Linked DNA regions of Schizosaccharomyces pombe. Each later gene encodes a partner of the first gene's protein in a complex. Each region holds a gene or a part of one and is shown in the gene's direction. Other genes may lie near its edges.

Evidence for each region.
Region 2: the proteins of cph2 (region 1) and clr6 are in contact, whole or in part, in a cryo-EM structure (PDB 8I02), measured with the Schizosaccharomyces pombe proteins. Residues at the interface, in NP_592978.1 of Schizosaccharomyces pombe: Ser419 (codon at 3,080), Gln420 (codon at 3,083), Pro434 (codon at 3,125), Asp435 (codon at 3,128), Asn438 (codon at 3,137), Pro440 (codon at 3,143), Leu441 (codon at 3,146), Ala442 (codon at 3,149), Thr443 (codon at 3,152), Arg581 (codon at 3,566), Asp582 (codon at 3,569), Leu583 (codon at 3,572), Arg585 (codon at 3,578), Ile586 (codon at 3,581), Ser587 (codon at 3,584), Lys588 (codon at 3,587), Leu604, Leu605; in NP_595333.1 of Schizosaccharomyces pombe: Arg166 (codon at 3,035), Asp188 (codon at 3,101), Phe198 (codon at 3,131), Gly199 (codon at 3,134), Lys209 (codon at 3,164), Arg226 (codon at 3,261), Gln247 (codon at 3,369), Trp248 (codon at 3,372), Phe249 (codon at 3,375), Arg250 (codon at 3,378), Asn349 (codon at 3,759), His350 (codon at 3,762), Thr352 (codon at 3,768), Gln354, Tyr355, Ser358, Ile359, Glu362, Leu370, Ser371, Ala373, Pro374.
Region 3: the proteins of cph2 (region 1) and pst2 are in contact, whole or in part, in a cryo-EM structure (PDB 8IFG), measured with the Schizosaccharomyces pombe proteins. Residues at the interface, in NP_592978.1 of Schizosaccharomyces pombe: Leu397 (codon at 3,014), Leu399 (codon at 3,020), Lys400 (codon at 3,023), Pro406 (codon at 3,041), Ile407 (codon at 3,044), Leu408 (codon at 3,047), Phe410 (codon at 3,053), Arg411 (codon at 3,056), Cys412 (codon at 3,059), His413 (codon at 3,062), Lys414 (codon at 3,065), Ser415 (codon at 3,068), Leu417 (codon at 3,074), Val418 (codon at 3,077), Ser419 (codon at 3,080), His433 (codon at 3,122), Asp435 (codon at 3,128), Cys436 (codon at 3,131), Asn438 (codon at 3,137), Pro439 (codon at 3,140), Pro454 (codon at 3,185), Asn455 (codon at 3,188), His456 (codon at 3,191), Ser457 (codon at 3,194), His459 (codon at 3,200), Val460 (codon at 3,203), Thr461 (codon at 3,206), Pro462 (codon at 3,209), Phe481 (codon at 3,266), Lys482 (codon at 3,269); in NP_593646.1 of Schizosaccharomyces pombe: Glu36 (codon at 4,180), Ile39 (codon at 4,189), Lys40 (codon at 4,192), Val43 (codon at 4,201), Gln44 (codon at 4,204), Gly47 (codon at 4,213), Gln48 (codon at 4,216), Tyr55 (codon at 4,237), Tyr57 (codon at 4,243), Phe60 (codon at 4,252), Met61 (codon at 4,255), Val64 (codon at 4,264), Lys65 (codon at 4,267), Leu67 (codon at 4,273), His68 (codon at 4,276), Glu70 (codon at 4,282), Asp73 (codon at 4,369), Phe74 (codon at 4,372), Pro75 (codon at 4,375), Phe77 (codon at 4,381), Asn96 (codon at 4,438), Ile97 (codon at 4,441), Phe98 (codon at 4,444), Leu99 (codon at 4,447), Leu138 (codon at 4,564), Pro139 (codon at 4,567), Thr141 (codon at 4,573), Tyr142 (codon at 4,576), His143 (codon at 4,579), Ala145 (codon at 4,585).

Annotation. Positions count from the first base shown.
Region 1 is NC_003424.3:541,304-548,065, reverse strand, and holds cph2 (Clr6 histone deacetylase-associated PHD protein-2 Cph2), read left to right. Parts: upstream 1-1,806; 5' UTR 1,807-1,825; coding exon 1,826-3,649; 3' UTR 3,650-3,939; downstream 3,940-6,762. Other genes in the region: SWI/SNF complex subunit Snf5, read left to right, coding at 1-1,402; pol4 (DNA polymerase X family), read left to right, coding at 4,509-6,029; translation initiation factor Tif5, read left to right, coding at 6,754-6,762.
Region 2 is NC_003423.3:849,771-853,538, reverse strand, and holds the start of clr6 (class 1 histone deacetylase Clr6), read left to right. Parts: upstream 1-2,062; 5' UTR 2,063-2,180; coding exon 2,181-2,220; exon of another isoform or gene 2,221-2,262; coding exon 2,263-2,324; exon of another isoform or gene 2,325-2,369; coding exon 2,370-2,420; exon of another isoform or gene 2,421-2,462; coding exon 2,463-2,580; exon of another isoform or gene 2,581-2,623; coding exon 2,624-2,654; exon of another isoform or gene 2,655-2,696; coding exon 2,697-2,740; exon of another isoform or gene 2,741-2,830; coding exon 2,831-2,876; exon of another isoform or gene 2,877-2,931; coding exon 2,932-3,166; exon of another isoform or gene 3,167-3,212; coding exon 3,213-3,305; exon of another isoform or gene 3,306-3,350; coding exon 3,351-3,459; exon of another isoform or gene 3,460-3,503; coding exon 3,504-3,644; exon of another isoform or gene 3,645-3,684; coding exon 3,685-3,768. Other genes in the region: spo9 (ER farnesyl pyrophosphate synthetase Erg20), read left to right, coding at 302-436, 486-623, 692-892, 933-1,514. UniProt on the Schizosaccharomyces pombe protein: Responsible for the deacetylation of lysine residues on the N-terminal part of the core histones (H2A, H2B, H3 and H4).
Region 3 is NC_003424.3:2,156,544-2,163,403, forward strand, and holds the start of pst2 (Clr6 histone deacetylase complex subunit Pst2), read left to right. Parts: upstream 1-3,942; 5' UTR 3,943-4,028; coding exon 4,029-4,059; exon of another isoform or gene 4,060-4,105; coding exon 4,106-4,286; exon of another isoform or gene 4,287-4,364; coding exon 4,365-6,860. Other genes in the region: ER zinc importer, CDF family, Zhf1, read left to right, coding at 2,269-3,432. UniProt on the Schizosaccharomyces pombe protein: Has a role in chromatin assembly and chromosome segregation. Involved in the deacetylation of histones.

The DNA of each region.
Region 1 (6,762 bases):
GTGTATTTCATTAGATCAATTTGCTGAACAGATCTGCATTGATTATGATATTCCACTGCATAATGTACATATTGTTCAAAATATTTCAAAGAGTATTCAAGCTCAAATAAATGACTATGAGCCGCGTAAGGCTCAGTCTAATTTAAGTTTTGTTTCAGATGTTAGTTCGTCTACCTCAGAGACTGTTTATGCGCACGAACCGTCAGATTCGTTGGCTAAAGCTTCCAAGCAACAAATTCCAACTGTACAAAACGATTTGAGGATATTGATCAAGCTTGATATTACCATTGGTCGGCTGAATCTTATTGACCAATTTGAATGGAATTTGTTTGCTCCTGAAAGCAGCGCTGAGGAATTTGCTACTGTGATGTGCTTAGATCTAGGATTGTCAGGAGAATTTTGTACAGCTGTAGCTCACTCAATTCGTGAGCAGTGCCAAATGTACATAAAATATTTAAGCCTTATAGGATATTTGTTTGACGGAAGTGAAATCGAAGACGAGGAAGTTCGCTCTTACATTTTACCTCCTCTTAAAAACACACTACGGTTCTCTGACATGGAATCCTCCTCCTTTGCCCCAATGATTTACGAGCTAAACGATGCTGAAATGGAACGGCAGGATAGAGGTTATGATAGGGAAGCACGTCGTATGCGGCGTAGACAAGGAAGGGCAAAACACGGGATTATGTTACCAGATCTTCGGGACATTCCTAAAATACATCGAAGTCTCTTCCCCAGTTCATCGGTCCCCTCGGATGATGACTTTATGCATGCTTTAAGTTTATCTACAAATTCTGATGGCGAGACACTTAACGAAATTAATACTAATAATCCTGAAAGAGAACATTTAATTGTGCGTCTAAAAGTTGACTCTCAGAAACTAAAAATAATCGTTGAACAATCACAAACCTTAACCCTCAATAACTTCCAACAACGGAAACTCACTCCCTTGCCCAATTCCATGAGTTTTGACTCACTAAACGAATTTGAAAGTGAAAGGAACACACCTTCTACATATGGGCAAAATATTTCGCCATTACCACAATTTTCGTCTCCTAGCCTTTCTTCTGACGCGTTTCTTACTAACAGCAATTCTTCTGAATCCGCTTTGGTTCATATGCAAAAGTTAAATTTACCTGATTTTACCCCTTCCTGGGTTAAACGATGTGTTATAGAGACATTTGCAAAATTTCCGAATGATCGATTTAATGTTATCGTAAAACCTGCTTTAAATCCTGCTGAAAGGATGACTGTGAGAATATGTTGTCATGATTGCATTAATGAGTATTTTACAGCCGGCCCAGGATTCACGTTTGGCAATTTCCATATCCACTTGTTGTCAAGCTCGCATCAACAAAAAAAGGAGGTGAGAATGAATACGGTTTTGGATAGAAATACTTAATACAATTTTGGAAGAATCTTTATCAAAGACCATAATCAAGATTTGACTCACGTTATGGATAGCTCGACGGACCAGTTTCTTTCAGTTGATAGCTTCTGTTACAAATGAGGCACTCTATCCTCAATACGATTAATTTATTAAATTTGAGGAAATACACTGTATATTATTCAAAGGCTTATTAATCCTTAATGTTCAGTCATGTGGCTAAATTTAAAGTATGTACGGGTAACCGATGAATCAAATTACTTTACAGCCTTCATTTCAGTTTTTGGAAATTATAATATTTTTGATATTTAAACAAAATAACTAACAAATCTTTCTTTTCGGTTTATAGCAGTCTTTCCTTGTTTCTCGTTAAATTCATCTTTGCTAGCATAAATCTTCATTGTATGTTCACACTACACGACGTCCACGTTTTCATCAATGGATGCAAAACCATGGAATCATACATCAGAAGCCTTTCAAGCTTCTATTTTGGAAGATCTTAAAATTATTCAAAAAGCCGGTGCTGAAAGGAATGCAAAGAGTTCGCATGGGTCAATAAATTCCAGGAGCGCTTCACCGAATAAAGCGACCTCGAGAAGAAATAGGGCCCAAAACGGCAACTCTAATGGTAGAGCCTCAGTTGATAACTCTGACGATGGAAGCAAGGATGATTTAGATTATTCTCCTTCTGTTAAGAGAAAGCATGTGAATGGTGAAGGTGCAGAAAAAGGTGATCATGATACATCTAACAACGGACCTAGTATTACTAAGTTAAGAAGAAAAGTTAGGAGAACCTATGATACTAAGGATGGATTTGTGGCTTGGAATACATTGGATGATGACTTTCGTCCTATAGTACCCGATCAAGAGAGATCACGAAAAATCAACCCCCAGAAAGGAAATAATAATAATCTCCTTAAAGAGAATAAGTCTCTAAAAACAACGGCTAAAGACTTATCTGATATCTCTAGTTCATCGATGAAGAAAGCGAATAACTCTTCCAAACCTCTTTTTTCTGGGAAGCTAACTTTCAAGGCTAACATTCCTGTTCCTACCTCTGAGGTCGTAACGGAGAATAATGTTACACGAAATGTTACCGTGTATTCCAACCAAAAACATTTAGGTAATGAATCAGAGAATTTTAACGACATGGAGGGCCGGGCCGAAGACATTAGTAGCAATGAATTACTTCCTACCCCTGAAGAATATCCATACAGATATAACAATGATTACTGCTCCGCATGTCATGGTCCAGGCAATTTTTTGTGTTGTGAAACATGCCCGAATAGTTTTCATTTTACTTGTATAGATCCGCCTATCGAAGAAAAAAATTTACCAGATGACGCTTGGTATTGCAATGAATGTAAACACCATAGCTTGTACAATGAATTGGATGAGCAAGAAGAATTGGAAAGTAATGTCAAAGAAGAAGGAACGATGGTTGATGTGTGGATGCAACTTTGTACATATATTGATTCTCACAATCCTATTCAGTTTCATCTTCCTCATTCAATTAGCAGCTTTTTTAGAGGTGTCGGAAGTGGAGTGATGGGTGAATATATCGAGACGGATGTTTTGAAGCATCTTAAATCTAGCCGAAGAAGCAATGGAGAAGAACGTGATCCTTTGCTTTTGAAGAGTAAAAGTGGTACTCCCATTTTATGTTTTCGTTGTCATAAATCGGCTCTGGTCTCTCAGAGTATACTAGCTTGCGATTATTGTAACTCCTACTGGCATCCCGATTGTTTAAATCCTCCACTCGCAACTTTGCCTTCGAATCTCCGGAAGTGGAAATGTCCTAACCATAGCGATCATGTCACGCCTCGGTATAGGTTACCTGAAAAAGCAAAGGTTATTCGTGTCGGTTTACCTCGTGGTTTCAAAAATAAAGGAAATATAGTTATTGATGAAAATGAGGATGAACCATCTGTGCAAACAATACAACTACAGGGAAAAATACGTGTGGTACCTAGTAAACCGTTTAAGTTGAACTTTTTAGAACAAATACGTGATAACGTTATTAATTTACGTAAAATGGTTGAGCAGGATGAACAACTATGTATTGAAACCTTTTCCAAATTTGACTTTTATGCAACCCGTGATTGTGAATTGCCTTTGCGAATCCTTTGCGATGTTGCCAATGACAACTTAGAAAATGATGATTATGTTTTGGCTTTAAGGGATCTTTTGAGAATTTCTAAATGGGATCCTAATCAACCCGTTCCTGCACCTTTTGATTTGGCTAACTTATTAAGCTATTGAAAGATAGCATAGCACCTCGATTCTTTCAAGTGCGGTGTCTTCGACGTTGAAATGTCTTAATATTTATGCCTATCTAACCATGAATGATACGATTTCATATATGAATGGTTTTATTTTTTTTCTTTATTTTTGGTATTGCGAAGGTGCTTCCAATTAGTGAATTGTGATCGAAGTGTGGTATTCAAAAAGTCTCCTTGGGAAAGGTGCAGGCATTTTTCCTTAATTGTAAATTTAATTAAGTTGTATATGCAATTATGCTGTGCAACAAATACTTTAACTTATAGTTGAACTGCAAAATTAAGAAAAGTTACGTTACAAAATGGAGTACAGAAATAAGCCAAATTTTATCACGTTTAATTATTCTTATTTGAATGCTTTAACGTGTAGTATTTTTGTATATTGAATTATTAGTTTCACCGTAGAACTGTTGATACAACTAAAGAATTCTTTGGGATAAGTTGAATTACAAGCAAATGATTGCGATAAACTGGATAGAATGCAAAGCGATTTGCAATAGTACTTAAACAATAGCACAGAAATAATAAAGAAACTGTATGATAGTGTAATTTCAAAAGTAGTTTGCTTACGTATTATTAACATTTTTTTTATTCCTTTTAATGTGTCATTATTAGCACATAAGGAAAAGTTGCATTGCTCTAAAATAAAATTACCTTAAAACATGTCGGTTTCATCATCATGTCTATCATTGCTTTGTAACTTAGTAGATGCTTTATTGTGCCTTTAGCTTGTTTTTATTTTCCATATTAGTTTGTTCTAAGAATTGGGTAACCTCGAAATTTATTACAAGGTCAATTAATAGGCAATACGTTTTTTGTTCCCTTAGTTGTAATTGTTCAAAATGAAGATTCTTGCAAGCAGTACAAATTATGTACTACATAATCGCTTGTCCAATTCACAATATGAAGATGCGCGATCAAAAATTGTAAATTTTGGAGGAGAATTCACAAACGATGCAGCAAAAGCGGATTACATTTTTGTCAATTACAGTCAAATTAACAGAGTTCGGCGAGAGCTAAGAACAATTGGAACACCGTTAGAGACGTGTGTATCGTGTAAGTTGATTGTTAAAATTGACTGGCTTAACGAGCCTAAAGAATCTTTAACGCCCGGGAATCCATATGTGATATGGCATCGAAAACCAGAGATGAAAGTTGGCTCGCCGTACACACCTTCAACAAGACCTGCTTCGCACACTGAAGCACCAAACGATTTTGAAAACCACGAAACTCCAAACACAGAAAATAATAACGAAGTTAAAAGCATTGACAATGTTGATCAAGAAGGATCAGTTTATCCGACTACGAAAGAATACCCTTACGTTCTTGAAATTCCACGGTATGCGTGCCAGAGAAAGACACCGCTTAAATGTGTCAATCAAGCCTTTGTGAATGCTTTAAGTGTCTTGAAAACATGCAGAGAAGTAAACGGTGAATCAGTAAGGACTAGGGCATACGGAATGGCGATTGCAACCATTAAAGCTTTTCCCTTGCCTATCGATAGCGCAGAACAATTAGAGAAAATGCCCGGTTGTGGGCCCAAAATAGTACATCTTTGGAAAGAGTTTGCATCAACGGGAACCTTAAAAGAAGCTGAGGAATTTCAGAAGGATCCGGCTTCAAAAATTTTGCTTTTATTTTACAATATTTTCGGAGTTGGTGCTTCTCATGCTGCTGAATGGTACCAAAAGGGTTGGCGTACGATTGAACAAGTTAGGAAGCACAAAGATTCATTTACCAAACAAATAAAAGTTGGTCTGGAGTTTTATGAAGATTTTTGTAAAACTGTAACCATTGAGGAAGCCACGGAGATTTATGAAACTATTGTCTCACGGATGCCGGATGGAATTAAAATTCAGTCTTGTCTAGTAGGTGGATTTCGTCGGGGAAAGCCTGTTGGAGCGGACGTTGATATGGTGTTGAGTCCATCACATACTCATTCTACAAAACATCTGGTGGATGTTCTCTTAAGAATTTTAGACGAGGAATTTCAATTCCGACTAATTTCTGTTCAGGAACATTCTTGCGGAGGAAAGAAAGGTTATGTAATGCTAGCAGTCATTTTGTCAAATTCTTCTAAAATCAATAGGCGTGTTGATATTATAGTAGTGCCGCCTGCATACATAGGCTCTGCCGTATTAGGATGGAGTGGAGGAATATTTTTTCTTCGCGATTTGAAGCTTTATGCTAACTCTCATTTGGGTCTAAGCTATGATTCGTTCGAAATCATAAATCTTAAAACAGGAAAAGACATATGTCCCGACGAATTTAATGAGTGGAAGGATCCCGTGGAAGCTGAAAAAGACATTTTTAGATATTTCTCCCTAGAGTATATTGAACCAAAGTTTCGTAACACGGGATAGTAAATACCTATCTTGACCTTAAGATCGCCACATTACTAACTCGCGATTTCGAAAATTGTTTTACGAAGCTTCTTTTAATTTATGTTTCTTTGCTACCCGACACTTTTAGTAGATTTTTTGCTAAAAACTTGAAATGTTTACACATTTTTCCAATCGGTCTATTAGGAAACGAAATCCTTGGAACAGAAATGAGACATCAAACAAGTAAATTTATCAGAAATCTCGAATTTAAAGAGAGGGAAAATTGAGGTCTAACAGTTTGGTATACAATGAAGCTCTATGCGAATGCTGTGTTTACAAAATATGGATTTTTTTTAAAGACGAATAACGATTTTTAACGTCATGGCGTTAAAATGACAATTTTACTCATCTTAGGGCACGTGACTGGAGTGGGTTAAAAATAATAAAAAGTTGTGGCTGCAACTTTTGTTTTTTACCAAACACCTTACCTTGACACATACCTTTGGAAAACCATCACCAAAGGACTTTCATGTTTGAGACATCGTTTAAAATACAAAACTGTGCATTTAATCAACGTTCAAGGACTGGCCATCTGAAATAAAAGGAACATTTTAAAGATAATACGGATTTTTTATCGAAAGAGTGACTTGTTATGATATTTCAAATTTTAGAATAAGTCACAAGCACTAAGCGCTTTTTAAAGACATAAAGTAGAGCAAATTTTTTTATATTACCTAAAAAAATCATCGAGACTGTAATAACAATGGCAACC
Region 2 (3,768 bases), on another chromosome or scaffold:
ACCAAAGGAGTCCTAAATCTATATTTCTACTAAACTTTAAGCATTAGATAAACATCCTAATTGTCTTGAAAATTTAGGACCAAATAGATGTTTCAAATAAGTATAGTGTTTTTGATCGATATACTTGATTCTTAAAAACGAGATAAATTTGTAACGCGCTTTCACGCGTAATTTGCAAATTTTATATTCAAGAATTGTGGTTATTTGTCATTTTAAATAATATTTTCTCATAGAAGACCTGTGCTAGTTCTCAGTCTTATACCAAGCTGGTTCTTATACATGTACAATTAAAAATACTAAAATGGTCAACGATTTTAATGAAAAAAATGGCATTAAGAAAAGACTTCTAGATTTCTTCCCAGTCGTTCTCGAAGGAATTCGTGAAATCTTAGAAAGCATGCAATACTTCCCCGAAGAAACCGAGAAGCTGTTATATGTAAGTTGATTATCTTGCCTTTATAACGCGACAGCTAACCTTCATTTAGTCCATAAAGAGAAATACGTTAGGAGGAAAGAATAATCGAGGACTGGCAGTTTTGCAATCTTTAACAAGCCTTATTAATCGAGAACTTGAAGAAGCAGAATTTCGCGACGCTGCTCTCCTAGGTTGGCTAATTGAAATTGTAAGTAAACTGGTTTTTTAATTCAGATTTGTTTACGTAAAATCACTGGGGTACTGACGGATGTTCAGTTGCAAGGTTGCTTTTTAATGGCAGATGATATTATGGATCAGTCTATCAAACGACGTGGTTTAGATTGTTGGTATTTGGTAGTTGGTGTACGAAGGGCAATTAATGAGTCACAATTACTAGAAGCATGTATTCCACTTTTAATTCGAAAGTATTTCAGAAATATGCCATACTATGTCGATTTATTGGATACTTTCCGAGAGGTATGTTACAATAAATTCAACTAAAAAGCTTACTTTCAAGGTTACTTTTCTCACCGAGTTGGGGCAACAAGAAGATTTGCTTTCATCACGAGACGGAGAAGCCTCGTTACGATCTTTTGATTTAATGAAATATGACTTTATTATCACTTATAAAACATCATTTTATTCCTTTTACCTTCCTATTAAATGTGCTTTATTGTTGTCTCGCAATTCGAATCAAAAGGCGTATGATACGACTATAAAGCTTTCAAAACTTCTTGGTTATTATTTCCAAGTCCAAGATGACTACTTAGATTGTTTCGGTGATTACACGGTTTTGGGTAAAGTGGGAATGGACATACAAGACAATAAATGCACATGGCTAGTTTGTTATGCTGAAAAATTTGCCTCTGCGGATCAGCTGAATCTTCTTCGTGCTCATTATGGAAAAGCAGGGTCTGAAAACATAGCTGTAATAAAGCAGCTTTATCATGAGCTTCAAATACCTGAATTATATCACAAATTTGAAGATGACATGGTGGATTCTATATCCAAAGAAATTGATTTGATTGATGAATCTACTGGATTGAAAAAGTGTATATTTACTAAGTTTTTTCAGCTCATTTACAAAAGGTCACGGTAGCAGTCATTTCATTTTAAATAACCGTTATTATCTTCTTCCTTATTTAAAATTTATTATTTGATGACCTTCCAAATTCTTTATGATACTGATCGACGATTTGTATTTAGGGTTATTCTTAAGGTTTCATATCATTATAGCATTTATGGTTTTTTTCATTATTGTTAAAGATCTGCATTCAGAATTTACTTTTTTAATGATTATCTGGTTGATACATTACTCTACTTGGGAAACTAAGCAAGATTTAGATTATGTAGATGTAAACATTTGGTGAGTAGTATAATAATAACATCAAATGACATTGACGATCGTTGTTAATTGGATTGGTTATGAAAGAATTATTATATTGCTCATTTGAGAAAATGCAAAAACTGTCACTGAAAAAAACATACAGCACATTTTAATAGACATTCCAAGGTTAGTCCTTTTTGTTATAACAGTATTTTACTTAAATTGAACAATTAATCGTTACTTATTTAAGATCTTGAAACACTAGTTCGTGGATGGGAGAAATATTCAATAGAACCAGGCTGCTGCTTCAGCTTCTGACCACTCCATCATAGCAACAATTCTACGCGAAAGCGCTCCGAACCTAACATTTTTAATTGATAACATAAGGAAACTGTTTGCCTTATTAAATAATTGGGAAAGAAAATCCTATTTGAAACTATGGGGTTCGGGAAGAAAAAGGTTTCTTATTTCTATGATGGTACGTGTAAACTAGTAAGATCCTAGCTAATTTTTGAAATAGAGGATGTTGGAAATTATCACTATGGTCCTCAGCATCCAATGAAGCCTCATCGCGTTCGCATGGTATGATATAAAGCTATAACTATTTATCATCATTAACCTACTTAGGTTCATAATCTGGTCGTTAATTACAACTTGTATGAGAAGTTGAACGTTATTGTAAGTTCTATTTCTCCTTTTTATACTAATAAAGTATACAAGACACCTGTTAGAGCAACAAGGAATGACATGACTCGTTGTCATACCGATGAGTATATTGAATTTCTTTGGAGAGTTACACCTGACACGATGGAAAAATTTCAACCGCATCAGCTGAAATGTAAGATTTCATTTCGATTATTTATAAATAACCGTGATTTTAGTTAACGTCGGTGATGATTGTCCTGTTTTTGAGTATGTGCGTTTATCAAATTTTTTATACTAACAATTGTTTAGTGGGCTGTACGAATTTTGTTCAATTTCTGCTGGCGGTTCAATTGGTAAGATAAAAGTTTTTCCCAAAAAAGGGGCTTTGAAGCATCCGCTGAATTTGTGAATGGAGTATAGGACTTTAACTAACATTGGTTTAGGTGCTGCTCAAGAACTTAACTCGGGAAACGCAGAAATTGCTATTAAGTATGTTATTGAGGATTTTTTAGTACTTTGAAGATCAACTAACCACTTAATTAAGTTGGGCTGGAGGCCTACATCACGCTAAAAAACGTGAAGCTTCTGGTTTCTGCTATGTTAATGATATCGCGTTGGCTGCTTTAGAATTGCTGAAATATCATCAACGTGTTCTTTACATTGATATTGATGTTCACCACGGAGACGGTGTAGAAGAATTTTTCTACACTACGGATCGCGTTATGACTTGTTCATTCCACAAATTCGGTGAATATTTTCCAGGAACCGGTCATATCAAGGTATGCATGCGGCTTTATATTTGGATTTACTTTTCTAATATTTTAGGACACCGGAATTGGAACAGGAAAAAACTATGCTGTTAACGTTCCTTTGAGAGATGGTATTGACGATGAATCTTATGAAAGCGTATTTAAGCCTGTAAGTCTTTTTTATAAATTTCTTTGTTCTAACAATCTGAATTAGGTTATAAGTCACATAATGCAATGGTTTCGACCGGAAGCTGTTATTTTACAATGTGGAACAGATTCTCTCGCTGGTGATCGACTAGGCTGCTTCAATCTGTCAATGAAGGGTAAGTAACTACTGTTTCTCGTTTTTACTAATTCCCCTCAACAGGACATTCAATGTGCGTTGATTTTGTTAAGAGCTTTAATTTGCCAATGATATGCGTTGGAGGAGGTGGATATACTGTACGGAATGTTGCCCGTGTCTGGACTTATGAAACTGGTCTTTTAGCCGGCGAAGAGCTTGATGAAAGTAAGTACCAATACGTAAATTGTTTATTAACCCATCCAAGACCTTCCTTATAATGACTATTTACAATATTACGGTCCCGATTACAAGCTCAATGTTCTTTCAAACAATATGGAAAACCATAACA
Region 3 (6,860 bases), 1.6 Mb from region 1:
ATTTATGTACTTTTGACAATTTAAGCGTTCCTTAAGGTAATCTCGTTAAATTACTGATAGGAAAAAGTCACTAACCCTACCCTCTATGGTGGTTAGTTAGGGATATTCTAACACCGACCAGACGGTGTCTAGCAAAGAATATGATGTTTAAAACGATTTCAGTTATCTATGAAGGCCATTACATATGTAAATGTTCTTTATATTGATTTTCTAGATGTTTAATACTTTTCAAAACCCATCATTTCGTTGTTAAAAATATATTAAAAGGTATATCAGCTAGCATGTCTGATAAGATTTATTATATGTATATAATGCTTTAGGTTTCAATTTTACTGTTTACTTTTTGTATAATTATAGCAAAATTAATATAGCTCAATTTTTGCCTGGGCAATTAACTGCGGTACATTACTCAAATGTACTCGTAACAAGAAAGGTTTTGGATTATTCAGTGCCGTTTGAAGAACCGATGCAGTCAGTCATCACATAGGTGTCTCATCCGAAGCCTCGTAGTTCTGGGAAGGATTAGACGCATTACCTAAAAAACGGTACAAGGGGGATTGTACAAGTAGATAGTGCAGCGAATTTGTAAATATCTAATCACTTGTAACCAGCCAAAAAGTAGATAACGCAGCATACGTAGTAAATATCGAGACACATGCTTACTTCAATCTTACACTAACTGGTGATTTTTAGATATGGTGGAGACCATGAGTTATTGATAAATGAACTATTTATTTGTCATTTGAGAATGAAAAGAAGGAAATATAATGAACAGGATGATTGAGAATGTTCTTATTCTTTTTGTTTTATTAATAATCATGTATATATATATATATATATATAAAAATTTTTTTAAAAGAAAACCCTCTGACATCAGGCTTTCATTCAAAACATTAACAATGCTGCTATGTTGACAGTATAATTATGAAAAGCTCTTCAACATCACTAGATTTTCCTTTTAGAAAGAGTTTTATTTTCGAAGCATTTCTTTTTTGTATGCATTCACTCATAATATTAAAATTACTTGATATATTTAGCTTATTACTAGCGAAATCTGGGGAGAGAGAATGCTCGTTTATGAACGAAGATCATAAAACATTGTAAGTTTTGAGAACAAACCACTGCTATAAACAACAAATAGAAAGACCTTTTTAATATATTTTATGGCGTTTAATCAAATTATTAAGCAAACCCAGTAATAGCTAAAAATAGTTGAAACATCTAGGATCATTTTCAATTCCTTATTTATTTACTTCTAAACAGCCGTTCGGCCAAGTTTCTGTGAGCTACAAGAAATGATGGTATCTTTCAATAAACAATGATTGGCGTTGCATAAAGCAAGCGTATGAATGGAATATTGAGCTATTAAAAATAATATAAATATGCAATTTCAAACGTTTTCGGCTTTTAAAAGTGGAACGTGGCACATTTAATCAACGTAAATCATTTTTTTTTTACCTATAGAAGTTTACCCAAAAATTGATACCAAGTATTAGCTTTATTAACTAATTACTTTTGGTAAAGCGGTAGAACCTATTCGACGAAATATCAATCAAATTACCAAGTACGATCTTGTCGCTCACTCATTACCCAAAAAATCATAGAAAGGACGATCCAAATATGTGTGCATATTGCTTATAATTAACTCGTTTATTACTGCGATACTCTGTAATTCGTTGTATCTGATTACGAATAATAATAGTCACTTTTACGATATCAATTATTATCAGATAAATATTTTCGATCGCAAAATTTGATCTTCTAACTATTTTGACTAATTTGTGCGTTTATTCTTAACACCGAATTGAAAGAAAATTTCAAAAGGTAGTCTTTGTTAGTTCCTTTTGTGGTAAACGCGATTAGTGGCCAGTCACTTACAAAACTTTGTTAAAGCAGACTAATAGTAGTCAACGTGTGATTTTATTTTTTCTTCACCGCTTACTTCTCAAAAGCCTCCTTTTTAATTTACTATCAAAAACGGCAGTTTTGGCAGTTTTTTGAAGGTTTATTGGTTTAATTAATTTATTCTGTAAAAACAAGGAAAGCAAAATTACAGATATTTGATTCTTTAGATTTTCTTAAACCCTCTCGCATCTTCGTCTTATTTTGGCTTTTTTTTTTGTTAAATATAGCAAGTTTGCGCCTCTTTTATTTAAATTCATTTTTAAAAAGCCACCTTTCATTCTAAATTTACCTTATTCCTTTTTCTCCCTGTGAAATTCAACCCTTACCATTTTTTTGAAATTGGTGACTTTTCGTTTTCAAACTATGTTCGACCTCGCAAGACAAACTCGGATTATCCTTTTATTAGGTATTGATGTTACTTTTTTCTTCATCGAAATTATTACTGGTTATGCGATCGATTCACTTGCCCTAATTGCTGATTCATTTCATATGTTAAATGACATTGTCAGTTTACTGGTCGCTCTCTGGGCTACTCGTCTAGCACATTCAACATCTCACGAACCAAAATACACATATGGCTGGCAACGTGCAGAGATTTTAGGTGCTTTGTCGAACGGTGTATTTCTCATTGCCCTTTGCATGTTCATTTTTATGGAAGCCATAGAGCGCTTCATTGAGCCTCCTTCTGTCAGCAATCCCACCCTTATGTTCTTTGTTGGTTCTTTAGGTCTGCTAAGCAATTTCGTTGGTATCTTTTTATTTCATGACCATGGTCATGATCATCCTCACACCCATACCGCTCAAAATTACGATTTTCCTGAAGAAGATGATATTGAATCCGTTTTACCTTCGACTATCGTTCATCGTTGTAATACCAGTCAACAAGAAGTCAGCCATACACACACTCAAGTCGCAGACTCTGCTACCGAATCTTCTCCTTTATTGAGTTACACTGGTAATCATAATGGTGCTGGTACTTCAAAGCCAGTCAACAACCATGGCAGTATTGAACAAGATGCACCAAAACAAACGAAGAAACGAAATTTGAATATGCATGGTGTCTTTCTTCATGTCTTGGGTGATGCTCTCGGTAATATTGGTGTTATTAGTGCTGCTTTATTCATCAAGTATACTGACTATTCTTGGCGTTTCCTCTTTGACCCATGCATTAGTATCCTTCTTACTTTCATTATTCTTTTTAGCGCAATTCCTCTCTGTAAATCCGCTGCTCTCATCTTATTACAAGTTGCTCCTCAAAGCATCAAACTGGATGATGTTTCCAACCTAATTAATCATCTAGACGGCGTGGAATCTGTTCATGAACTCCACATCTGGCAGCTTTCGGACGTTAAATTAATTGCCACTGTTCATGTCTGCGTTACACTTCCTGATGATAAGGGAGAGTCTTATACAAAGCTTACTACGGATATCCGTAATGTCCTTCAATCTTTTGGTATATATGATGTTACCATTCAACCAGAATTCGCCAATCATCCGCTTTTATGTGACCAAGGTTCCTCGTCTTAGTTTGCGAACATTATAAATTTAACGTGGTTAATCTATTGTGTCACATCTTTTGATTTATTCTTGAGGTAAAATTTTATATTGAATGTTTACTTTGTTTCATTTTTAAAGCGTAATTTCTTCTGCCATTCCTGTTCGTATTTAAAAACTTTATTTCACCATCTTGGTTGTTTGTTTTGCGAATGCACTTAAGTAAAGTAGTCGACAACTTAACTTTGAAAGTAGATAGTTTTCGATTTCTTATTCTTGATGAAGACGATGCATAGTTTCGGTTTTATTAAATCTCTATTATTCTTAGAAAATAATGTTTAGATGTAGTGTTTAATTATTTAAAAGGAATATTTTTTAACAATTATATTGGGTTTGATTCTTCTCGTTAGTATTTTTTCTAAAGTATTCGTTGTAAGTGTAAAACACCATCCAATGTGGTATTTGTGTTCATGTCTTGATAAATCATTTGAACTTTGGCTATCAGCGTCAGTTCATGTAATGCGTTGACGAGTTTGTGCGCTTAGTTGCATTTGCCGTTTCCCAAATCATCACCTCCAAAATAAACGAGATCGTATTCCTAGTCATTTGATGGTTAAAGATCAAAATACATGGAACAAACACTAGCGATATTAAAAAATGGTACGTATCAATTTAATACATAACTCATTTTAACCAATGTTGTTAGACAACTCAACGTTAGTGGCCGAGATGCAGAATCAATTAGTCCATGATTTTTCCCCTAATGGTACCGCACTCCCCGAGCTTGATATAAAGGCATTCGTTCAAAAGTTGGGTCAAAGACTGTGTCATCGTCCTTATGTTTATAGCGCTTTCATGGATGTTGTGAAGGCTTTACACAATGAAATGTATATATGGCTTATTTACTGAGTTGCTTTGAGATAGCTCTTTTTTTATTACTATTCACTTATTAACATGAACATTAGTGTCGATTTTCCCGGGTTTATTGAAAGAATATCTGTAATCTTAAGAGATTACCCAGATCTTTTAGAATATTTGAACATCTTTTTGCCCTCGTCTTATAAATACCTTTTATCGAATAGCGGTGCCAACTTCACATTGCAATTTACCACCCCATCTGGTCCAGTTTCTACACCGTCTACTTATGTAGCTACTTACAACGACTTACCTTGTACCTATCATAGAGCTATAGGATTTGTTTCACGAGTTCGACGAGCATTATTGAGCAATCCCGAACAGTTCTTTAAATTACAGGATAGTCTTCGTAAGTTTAAAAACTCTGAGTGTTCGCTTTCTGAGCTTCAGACTATTGTAACGTCTTTGCTAGCGGAGCATCCATCTTTAGCCCACGAGTTTCACAACTTTTTACCAAGCTCCATCTTTTTTGGGAGTAAACCTCCTCTAGGATCGTTTCCATTAAGAGGAATTCAGAGTTCCCAATTTACGTTGAGTAATATTTCTGATTTGCTTAGTCAATCAAGGCCGGACAACCTCTCACCATTTTCACATTTATCAAATGAGAGCAGTGACTTTTTCAAAAATGTGAAAAATGTACTTACCGATGTAGAAACTTACCACGAATTTTTAAAACTCCTGAATTTGTACGTTCAAGGGATAATTGATAGAAATATTCTGGTGAGTCGTGGGTTTGGGTTTCTTAAATCGAATTCGGGACTTTGGAGAAGCTTTTTAAGCCTTACTAGTTTGAGTCCGGAAGAGTTTTTATCTGTATACAATTCCGCTTGCTCAGACTTCCCGGAATGTGGCCCGAGTTACCGATTGCTTCCTGTCGAAGAACGCAATATTTCTTGCAGCGGTAGAGATGATTTTGCATGGGGTATACTTAATGATGACTGGGTCAGTCATCCAACTTGGGCATCTGAAGAAAGCGGTTTCATTGTTCAGAGGAAAACGCCTTATGAAGAGGCAATGACAAAGTTGGAAGAGGAACGTTATGAATTTGATCGGCATATTGAAGCTACTTCCTGGACAATCAAGTCTCTTAAAAAAATTCAGAACCGTATAAATGAATTGCCGGAAGAGGAAAGAGAAACATATACTCTCGAGGAAGGGCTAGGTTTACCATCAAAAAGTATATACAAGAAAACTATTAAGCTTGTTTATACCAGTGAGCATGCAGAGGAAATGTTTAAGGCCTTGGAAAGAATGCCTTGCCTCACATTACCATTGGTAATCAGCAGATTAGAAGAAAAAAACGAAGAGTGGAAGTCTGTTAAAAGAAGTCTTCAACCTGGATGGCGAAGTATTGAGTTTAAAAATTACGATAAGAGCTTAGATTCACAATGCGTTTATTTTAAGGCAAGAGATAAGAAGAATGTATCTTCAAAGTTTCTCTTAGCAGAAGCCGACATTCTACGATCGCAAGCGAAGCTCCATTTTCCTTTGCGAAGTAGATCAGCTTTCGAATTTTCTTTTGTATATGACAACGAAATAGTACTTTTTGATACTTGTTATATGGTATGCACATACATTGTATGTAACTCTCCCTCTGGTTTAAAGAAAGTTGAGCATTTTTTCAAGAATATATTGCCTTTACATTTTGGTCTTGAAAAGGATAAATTTTCGATATTCCTGGATCAAGTTTTTCGTGGTCCTGATTACGATGTGAATGCCCCGAATATAGTTGGTAACAAGCCTGTACGTCGGAAAAGATCTAATTCTATAACCCAGTTGACGGAATTTGTAAAACAACCTAAAATCAATGGTCAACGCGAAAGTCGTTCAGCTGCAGCTGCTCGCAAAAAAGAAGAATCCGGTAACAAATCACAATCTAACTCTCAAAACTCTTTAAGTGATGAATCTGGAAACGTAACGCCGGTTTCTAAGAAACAGCTTTCACAACCTGCTGCAGCCATTAAAGCCAGTCTCAAATATCCAAGTCATCCAGATAGTCTTTTGGAACATCAAGATCATGCTGGTGATACGGAGAATGAAATGCATGACGACGTCGATAAAGAACAGTTTGGATATTCTTCTATGTACGTATTTTTTAGACTTTTTAACTTATTATACGAAAGGCTTTATGAGCTTCAGCGTTTGGAGGATCAAGTGTCCATTATCCAACAGCGTATAATACCAAACCCAGTATCTCAAAAACAAAAGATTTGGCGCGATAGGTGGAATGATCTTTCAGATGTCCCTGATGAAAAAACTCATTACGAAAATACTTATGTGATGATTCTTCGATTAATATATGGGATAGTTGATCAAAGTGCCTTCGAGGACTATCTGCGGTTTTATTATGGCAATAAAGCCTATAAAATATATACTATTGATAAACTCGTTTGGTCTGCTGCTAAACAAGTCCACCACATCGTTTCCGATGGAAAATACAAATTCGTTACTAGTTTAGTCGAACAAAATAGTTCTGCTTCGCCTAAGAAGAATTATGATGACTTTCTTTATCGCTTGGAAATTGAAAAGCTTTTGAATCCTGATGA